2 linked regions of the Lonchura striata genome follow. The protein of the gene in region 1 interacts with the protein of each later gene in a pairwise test. Links are inferred from orthologs where the notes say so. Each region holds a gene or a part of one and is shown on either strand. Other genes may lie near its edges.

Region 1 (3,913 bases):
GTGTATATGGACCAGGCCTTAGGTCAACCACTGCAATTTCCTGACTTATCTATTCTCCATGTGGTTGAATGAATGTATTTGGTAACATGTCTCGTCAAACAGGCATGGTTATGGAGTATTTTGGGCTGTTCTCTTGTCTGGCTTCAAAATTTTTTTTTTTTAAATATTGTCAGCATTCACTCATGTTTCTGAAAAGGTTTTGATATTTCAAGCATGGTACAAAAAGGAAGTCACTCTTCAGCTCTCAGTTCAGGGTCAAAGGGTAACTCTTGTGTTTTAACTCCAGCTTTCATGGAGCCCCCTTTATGGATCCAGAATTTAAATTGAGCTACGTGGCTTTTGCCTCAGTTCATTCCCTCCCCCCAGCAGCAATCCAGTAAGCTCCCATGTATCTCTGGGATTCTTGACACAGTCTGATCCTGTCTTTGAAGTGATGGGACTGATACATATTACCCTGAACTACAGAAAAACCTTTATGTTGCAACCAAACTGCGAGCAGAGGATGCTTGAGGGAGCTCATGCGATCTGCCTGTGTGTGTGGATTTGAGCCCAATGTTAAATGTATCCAACAGAGGAAAGTGCTTCGAAGTGCGTAATTCCACAGCAGGTTCAGCTGACTGAAATCAGCTTTGTGGCATTCTCACTCTCCCTATCAGTCCCAGACTCGAATTCTCGCTTCCTCCATTTGTTTACTTTTGCGATGTTAATTTGTGTGTGTAATTTTCTGTTGGTTTAGCTCCTGAACAAACTTATCACGGCAACTGATAAATGTTGGACAAGGGGGAAGGGCGAGACTGTGGCAGCGCTGTCTTATCTGTCGTGTGCTGTCTCGGTATAAAGCTCGTCTCCCTTTTGCCTGTAACTACCTGCTTCACTTCAACATTTCACCTTCCCACCTCTGGAGAGCACGTCCCGAGAACACCTCACCTCTCTTCTCGAGAGCCCGGCGCTGTACGTGCAGCCAAACCCCTCCTCTTTTTCCCTCCGGGCGCAGCACAAGCGCTGAGCCGAAAACTCCTGTTAACTAGGGTGACAAGTTTCCAGCAAGCTGCGGAACACGGGGAGAGGGGACACCCGGATCCCGGCAATATAAGGTATAGACGCCTCGGCTTGTGCAACACAGCGGCAGGGCAGAGCCCGTTTTATTCTTGCCTTTTTTGGATCTGCACGCACACAGACCTCAGCACAATGGAGCCGGCTCCGCGATAGCGCAGCGCGGTACGGGCGGCAGAAATAAAGTCAGCGCAGCGCGGCTCGCGATTGCTGCGATTGCCGCGATTCCCCGCTGATGGCGTGATCGCCAAAGACTTCTGCGTCCCAGGCAGGCCAGCGCCGCTGCCGGCCGCTGCCCGGCGGAGCCGCGGGCTCCGGGAGCCGCCCGCAGCCGCAGCGCGGCCGGAGCACACCCGCGGCCCCGGGGCAGCGCCGGGGCAGCGCCGGGGCGCTCCGGGCTCCCGCCGCGCCGCGCAGGTACCTCCCGTTCCCAAAGCAACTTTCCGCCGCCGAGCGAAGCGCAGGGACCTGCCCCCGCCCCTCGCCCCGCTGCGTCCCGCCCCGCGGCCCGGCTGCCCACCTTGGCGGCAGGGGGGCTGCGGGCGGGCCCCGAGCCAATGGCCGCGGCACGGCGGGCAGGGCGCGGGGCGGCGCCGGCCGCGGCAGGGCGGCGTGGGCAGCGGGGCCGGGCAGACCGGGCAGCACCTTGCGGCGGGCGGAAGGTGAGTGCCGCCGCGCCGGGGAAGGGGATTTCCTCGCTTGTTTTGTAACCGGGAAGTTTGCGCAGGGCTTGAGCGGACGGGTGCGTTCTTCTTCTTCAGCCCTTCTCTTCCCTCCTCCTTTTGAAATTTTCTCGTAGAAGAGGGTACTGACCCTGCCTTCCCCCCCCTGCCTCCCCGACTCATTCATTTAACAAAGGGAGTTGTTCTCAGCCGCCGGGCTTTGCGAGCGGGGAGCCCTTCGGGGCCGCATGTTTGGGGTCCCGGAGCAGAGGCTGGGGTGAAATCGGCGCTCAGCCCACAGTTTTTGCCAAGCACCCGTCCTGCCTTCGGCTGGAGGGGCGGGCGCTTTGGGCAAACACAAAGAATTGAGGAGCTGGACCCATGCTGGGCGATGGGTTGATGAAGCCTCGGGCTTTGTGTGGCTGGTGGAGGAGGGATGGAGAGGTGGGAGCTTGTCTTTTAACCCCTCCGCCCGCATGTGTGTACGAAACCGTGACTTTTTTCCTAGTAAAGTACTTAAAAGCGAAGCTGAACTTTGGGATCGCGGCATAATTCAGATTGGAGGGAACGTCAGCTGGTCTCAATCCAGCCTTCTTCAAAGCAGGGGCTTCTGCCTGGGGAGTGGGGGGCAGTGAAGGGACATCGGAGATGGCTGGCACCTCTGGGTGCTCTTGAATGCACCTGGGAGCTCGCTAGAGAAGGCAGCACCAGCAGGACGGGATTTCAGAGGTACTAGCGCTTCTGTCTTCCACTGTGCATGGAAATGCCCCAATCCACAGCTCTCCCACGCCTGCACTCCCTGGTCTTGCTGCTTTTGTTATCCAGAGGGCTTAAAATTCATGATTGTTGGGAATAGCTGGCTCCATCCGTATGTGTGTCACGGTGCATCTGCTCCTGCTGAGCATTACTTGATTCTTATTTCAACATTGCCTCCAGGAGTTTTTTTCTTCTGGAGCAAGATTTATAAATAGGTGTCAAAACCTGACTTTTGCTTGGGACTGGCTGTAAGGCGTGTACTTTCTGTGGTAACTATGTATGAGATGTGTATGTGTGTGAGAACAACTATAAAATCTGTTCAGTTAGCCACACTTTTCATTTTCAAAGTAAAAGTAGGTATTGTAGCAGGGTGAAATGGCTGGATCGGGCACAGAGGGAAGAATGTTTGTTTTCTTTGCTCGCAATTACTCTTTGCCCAGTGACTTATGGATGCCTTTCACTGAACCACCTCCCCCTTCTCTACAGTTGGGAGTTTCCTGGTGTTGCACATTACCTGGGCAAGCAGGGAGCATCTTCCTGTCGCTGCTTCAATATCTCTTAGTGTGGGTGTGCTGGTCTTGCTCTCAGCTTTATAGGGTGAGGCTGGAAAAACTCCTCCTTGTGGAACAGTTTGCGTGTGTGTCCACTGGATGCTTGGAGACTGCTTTTTCCCGTGCATTTTTTTTGTGGGTAAGTCAGAGAAATGAAGCTCATCTCTGCACAGGGAACAGAAGCTATGGTGGGAATTTGAATATGTTTAAATACTGATTCTATTTAACTCTGGATTGCCTGTCTTGTGCCACAGAACAGAATTTGTTCTCAGCTGTACTGTATAACAGAGCTGGAGTCTAAGACTGGACAATAAACTGCCAGGTAATTTTTTTAGCCTTTTTGAGTCCTGCATCTTTAAATGGGATGATATAACTGCCATTTTTCGATTTGGAAATGAAAGCCAAAAATAAACTTGAAGAAGAAAATGCTCTTGTAGCATGACAGCAAGAATGCTTTTACCGGTTTCTGAGGAATACTGTGTGCTCTGGATGTTGCTCAGAAAAAAAAAGAGTAGGGAAAAGTGAGGTTTTTAGTTCATGCATTTCTGTGCATAATGGGGATATAGGAAGAAATACGTGACAAGTCCAATATAAGTGCCACAAGTGGAAATATATTGCTTGTTTATTTTGTTTTTCACTGCCTTTCTTGCGCTGGATTGAAAACTGATGCTAGCTCTCTTTGCTGGAGAGGTCAAAGAACTGTTTTATTATCCTTTTCCAGGCTCTGAAAGGAGACCTTTTCTCTCAGCTTTGATTTCAATGCATGAATTTCACCAGTTTGCTGATTAGTGTCTTGTCTTTTTATAACTGTGAACTGCAGAATGGCTTCTTTTCTTCTTTTTCCCTTTTGTGCACCTGTCTCACTTCCTTGGTGTGGGAAGGTTTGTAATT
Region 2 (3,913 bases), on another chromosome or scaffold:
CAAAATCTTTCCTGTGCAAGGAGCGGGAAGTTTTGCCCTTCGTGTATATGTAGATTGTTGAGTATTTAAATGGGGGGAAGATTTAGGAGGCACGTGAAGCACCAGAACAAACCAGAGGAGGGGGCAGCAATCGTGCAGTTAAAAGCTGGTTTTTCACAGACTGCTATACAAGGGGTTGTTTGTTTGTTTAATTTTTTAATTTCTCTATGTTTGTTTAATTTTTTAATTTCTCTATCTCTTAATTTTACTTATTGTCTTGGTCTGTGTTTCCATCTTTTTTATTAGGAGGGGAAAATCTGTCTTTTTTGAAAGAGGGGGGATGAGGGAAAAGCAAGAGAAACTTTCTGAGTGTGTGAACTGAAAAATCAGTTATTTATTCTTTATAACAAACACTTTAAAGAGCTATAGAGACAGAAAGCTGACATTATCTAGCCTCTATACTTCCTCTCTGCTTCTCCACCTCCCCCTTTCCCTTTCCCAAATGGGAGAAAATACCTATTTGAGATGAGAGGAGGTCGTGTCTGGGATCAGCAGGAATCCCTGGGACAGGGGCAGAGCTCGCAGCCTGGCCGTGCATCTCCAGCACTCTCGTATTCCGAATTCTCCCAAATCCTCCTTGCTGGGGCCGGCAGCCCGGAGAGCAGCTGGATGGAGCAGAGAGCCTAAAAAACTTCATTCTGCAGGGGGACCTCTAGTGTTTTCCTTTCTCCATGTCCTGGCAGAGTTCCTCCAAAGTACAAATACACACAGAGCTCCCATTGTTTGCAGCCCTTCACAAGCCCACTGATCCTAATATGGAATTCAGCAGGAAACCCATGATTTCCTGACACACAGCAAGCTGGAGAAAGAAAGGAAAAACTCCATTAAAAACCTCCAGACTCTCCTCCATGTAGAAATGAAATGGAAAATGGAGTGGATTTAACAGGAATCCCTGGTTCCTGCGGCCAGGCTGGAGGAAGGGAGACGCGGATCGAAGCTGCAGGCTGCTGATATTTTTTGAAGTTGTGATAAAGACTGGGAACGGCCGGGCAGAATGAGGATTTCCTGACTGGGACAAACGAAAAAGGACAGATCACTCTTTTTTTTTTTTTTTTTTTCTATGATATTCCCCTCTGTGTGTTTAATTTATTCACCTCGATGATCCTCTTGACTGATCTGGTAACTGTTAGAAGCGGCTGTGACAGCCTGGAAACATTAGTATGATTTCCTGAGTTTGAGATTTGCTGCTCTCCCCCCACCCCCCTCCTTCTCCAAACTCAGGAAAAGTCAATACAATCGCACTTCATTTTTCCTTCATGTGCACTTGGAAGTCCTGGGAGCAGCAAGAGCAGCGGCAGCAGCAAGAATGAACTGCAAGGAGGAAAATGACAACTGCACTGACGGGAGCAGGAACAACACCAAGAAGATGCTGAAATGTGTGGTGGTTGGGGATGGTGCAGTTGGGAAAACCTGCTTGCTGATGAGCTATGCCAATGATGCCTTCCCAGAGGAGTACGTCCCCACTGTGTTTGACCACTATGCAGGTAAGAAAGGGCTTTAAAAGAAATTTAATCGATAGCTGCAGGACAGCCAGGTGGGAGGTGAAGGCAGCTCAAGGAGAGGACAGTTCAAAAGGGATGCGTGGGTTACTTCTTGTCCAGGAATGTCATTCAGGCCTGGATGGTTGCCAGGCAGCTTAGAGGGCAGCTCATGAAATTGGGACAATGCAGGATTTATTCAGATAACTTATTTGTTTGCTTCTGATTTTTGTCTTGTTTTTGGCAAATAAGAAGCCTTAGGGATGCACTGAAATCCACTGTGTTTTGGGGCAACAAATGTGATTCAGCCTCTGTCACTTTGTATTCTTGGTTAGTTTTTGAAGTTCTGAGCTTTGCAGTTTACAGTTAAGACTATATATATGTGTATATATATATATATATACATATAGATATATGCTATCACAATCTTGTCCCTCTTGGCAAATGATGCATAAATTACAATATATATATCCTATTTAAGGAATAATATTTGAGAATGTATCCTATTTTAGGAGATCTTTGAGAAAACCAGCATAGTCTCTTTCCAAGCTGTCAGTATATAACTCTCCTTTCAGAGATGTTTGTTACTTCATCTATAAATAGATTTTAATACTACAACTTGATGGTAGTGAAAAGCAGAAGAGGTGATTGATTTGAGTCCTTCATAGTCGGGGAATTTGTAGTTTAAGCAAAAAGCACAAACATAATCAAGTTATATTCACTGCATTGCTGTGCAGAACAGACCCACAGGTTAAGTTCAATATTCACAGGCCTCTTTCTGTAGCAATTACTGACTTTACCCAGCTGTGTCCAAAGTTATCACGCAGATGTTTCATAGGCTAAAACTGGTTCAAACATCTGCTTAAATTTTACTATCCCAAATCCTGTTGTTTTTCTTCCCACAGTGTTCCTTTGGCTTAGGGAATTTTTTAATGAGATCCCTGACAGATTCTAGGAGCCCTGCAAAACTCATTGCTTATCTTGCAGCAGCAGTTGGAGTTTCCCTCATTCTCTCCCCACCTCCTTAAAAACTGAATTTTCATGGCGTGGCTTATCATAGATTTGGTATTTTGTAATGGGAAAAATCCCTGTTTGCATTCTGGCTCTGTGTCAGGTTTAGCAGATGAACTGGCCAAACAAGAAAGCTGTGTAATTGCAGAATCTGATCCGTGGAAATGTGAAGACCTTTTCCTCCACCAGAGTGGGCAGCGTCACTTCTAATGCAAGCAGCTCTCTCTTTTCTCTGCCCTTCCCACCATAGATTGAGTGATCCCTTTAGGAAAAAACAAACAAACAAAAAAACAAACAACAACAACAAAAATTTCCACAGAAAATATAGACAACAGAATATTGCCTGTTGGAAATACGTGCTTCCATGAGCCAAAATGCCTAAGGGCTGCCTTATACCCACTTTCCTGTGATAACTTCAGATCTGCTCATCCCTTACAAAATGCTGATCCCAGCACCCATTGCCCTTCTCCCACTCTCTTCCATGCCCTGCAAATACCTCTCTGCCTGTGGGAAAAGCCATCAATAGCTGGTGCCAGACCACGTGGGCATCGGTCTTGGTGGTTTTGGTGTGAGCCTGGGGCACACATGTGGCATTTGGTGGGGGACCACTCTGAGTTTCTCCTCCCTAACCAGCCACAGGTGACTTGCAGGGACTTGCTTTGATTCTCTTTCCTCTGTCAGAAGTGTTGGAAATTGCCACTGGGCTCAAAAGCTACTGAGGGATACAAGGGCTGAGGGAAGGATGGGAAGATGAAGTACCATAATCCTGATTTCCTTGGGGTAAAAGGAGTATGAAGGCACTTTTAAATCAAGCCTCATTTCCAGGGTTTGAAGATTTAGCCCCTAAAATATCTCCAGCTCTTTTTATCTACCTTCTTAACTACTATAGCACATAAATATAAAAGTATTTTCAGTGAGAAAAACTAATAAAAATAAGGGGAAAAAATAGCTCTGCTTATTAACATGCTGTTCTGAGACAATCCCTGCCCAGTGGCAGTGGTCAAAACTTGCATTGATCACAAATGGAATTTCAGTGTTTTGAGGAATCCCATAATTTATTAAACCAATTTAAGTACAAAATTGCATACAGAGTTGAGCAGTAGGAATTACTTCTAGAGCAGAGTGCTGGAAAAAATCCCACCCATAAAAATATGACATGGCATAAAGTATAACACAGCCTATTTAAAATACTGTGGGTATTGATTGAGCGAAGAACTCACTTGGGGGAACCTTACGCCTGAGCTTACAGTTTTTAGGATCTTCCACTGGATTTCCCACATCCATCTGTGTGGCAGCCCATGGTGAACAGGAGAGGTGGCACAGCAGTACCATGGTCACAGAGGTACCATGGGCATGGTGGCAGCACAGCATATGAGAAAGCTGCA

Evidence for each region.
Region 2: the proteins of PAK1 (region 1) and RHOJ interact in binary tests that used the Homo sapiens proteins (3 or more experiments, as listed by UniProt). The link is inferred for Lonchura striata from reciprocal best matches to the Homo sapiens genes PAK1 and RHOJ.

The regions. Positions count from the first base shown.
Region 1 is NC_134604.1:32,382,728-32,386,640, reverse strand, and holds the start of PAK1 (serine/threonine-protein kinase PAK 1), read left to right. Parts: upstream 1-857; 5' UTR 858-1,094; intron 1,095-1,617; exon of another isoform or gene 1,618-1,795; intron 1,796-2,223; exon of another isoform or gene 2,224-2,444; intron 2,445-2,526; exon of another isoform or gene 2,527-3,161; intron 3,162-3,167; exon of another isoform or gene 3,168-3,344; intron 3,345-3,913. UniProt on the Homo sapiens protein: Protein kinase involved in intracellular signaling pathways downstream of integrins and receptor-type kinases that plays an important role in cytoskeleton dynamics, in cell adhesion, migration, proliferation, apoptosis, mitosis, and in vesicle-mediated transport processes.
Region 2 is NC_134608.1:6,725,781-6,729,693, forward strand, and holds the start of RHOJ (rho-related GTP-binding protein RhoJ), read left to right. Parts: upstream 1-753; 5' UTR 754-1,345; coding exon 1,346-1,523; intron 1,524-3,913.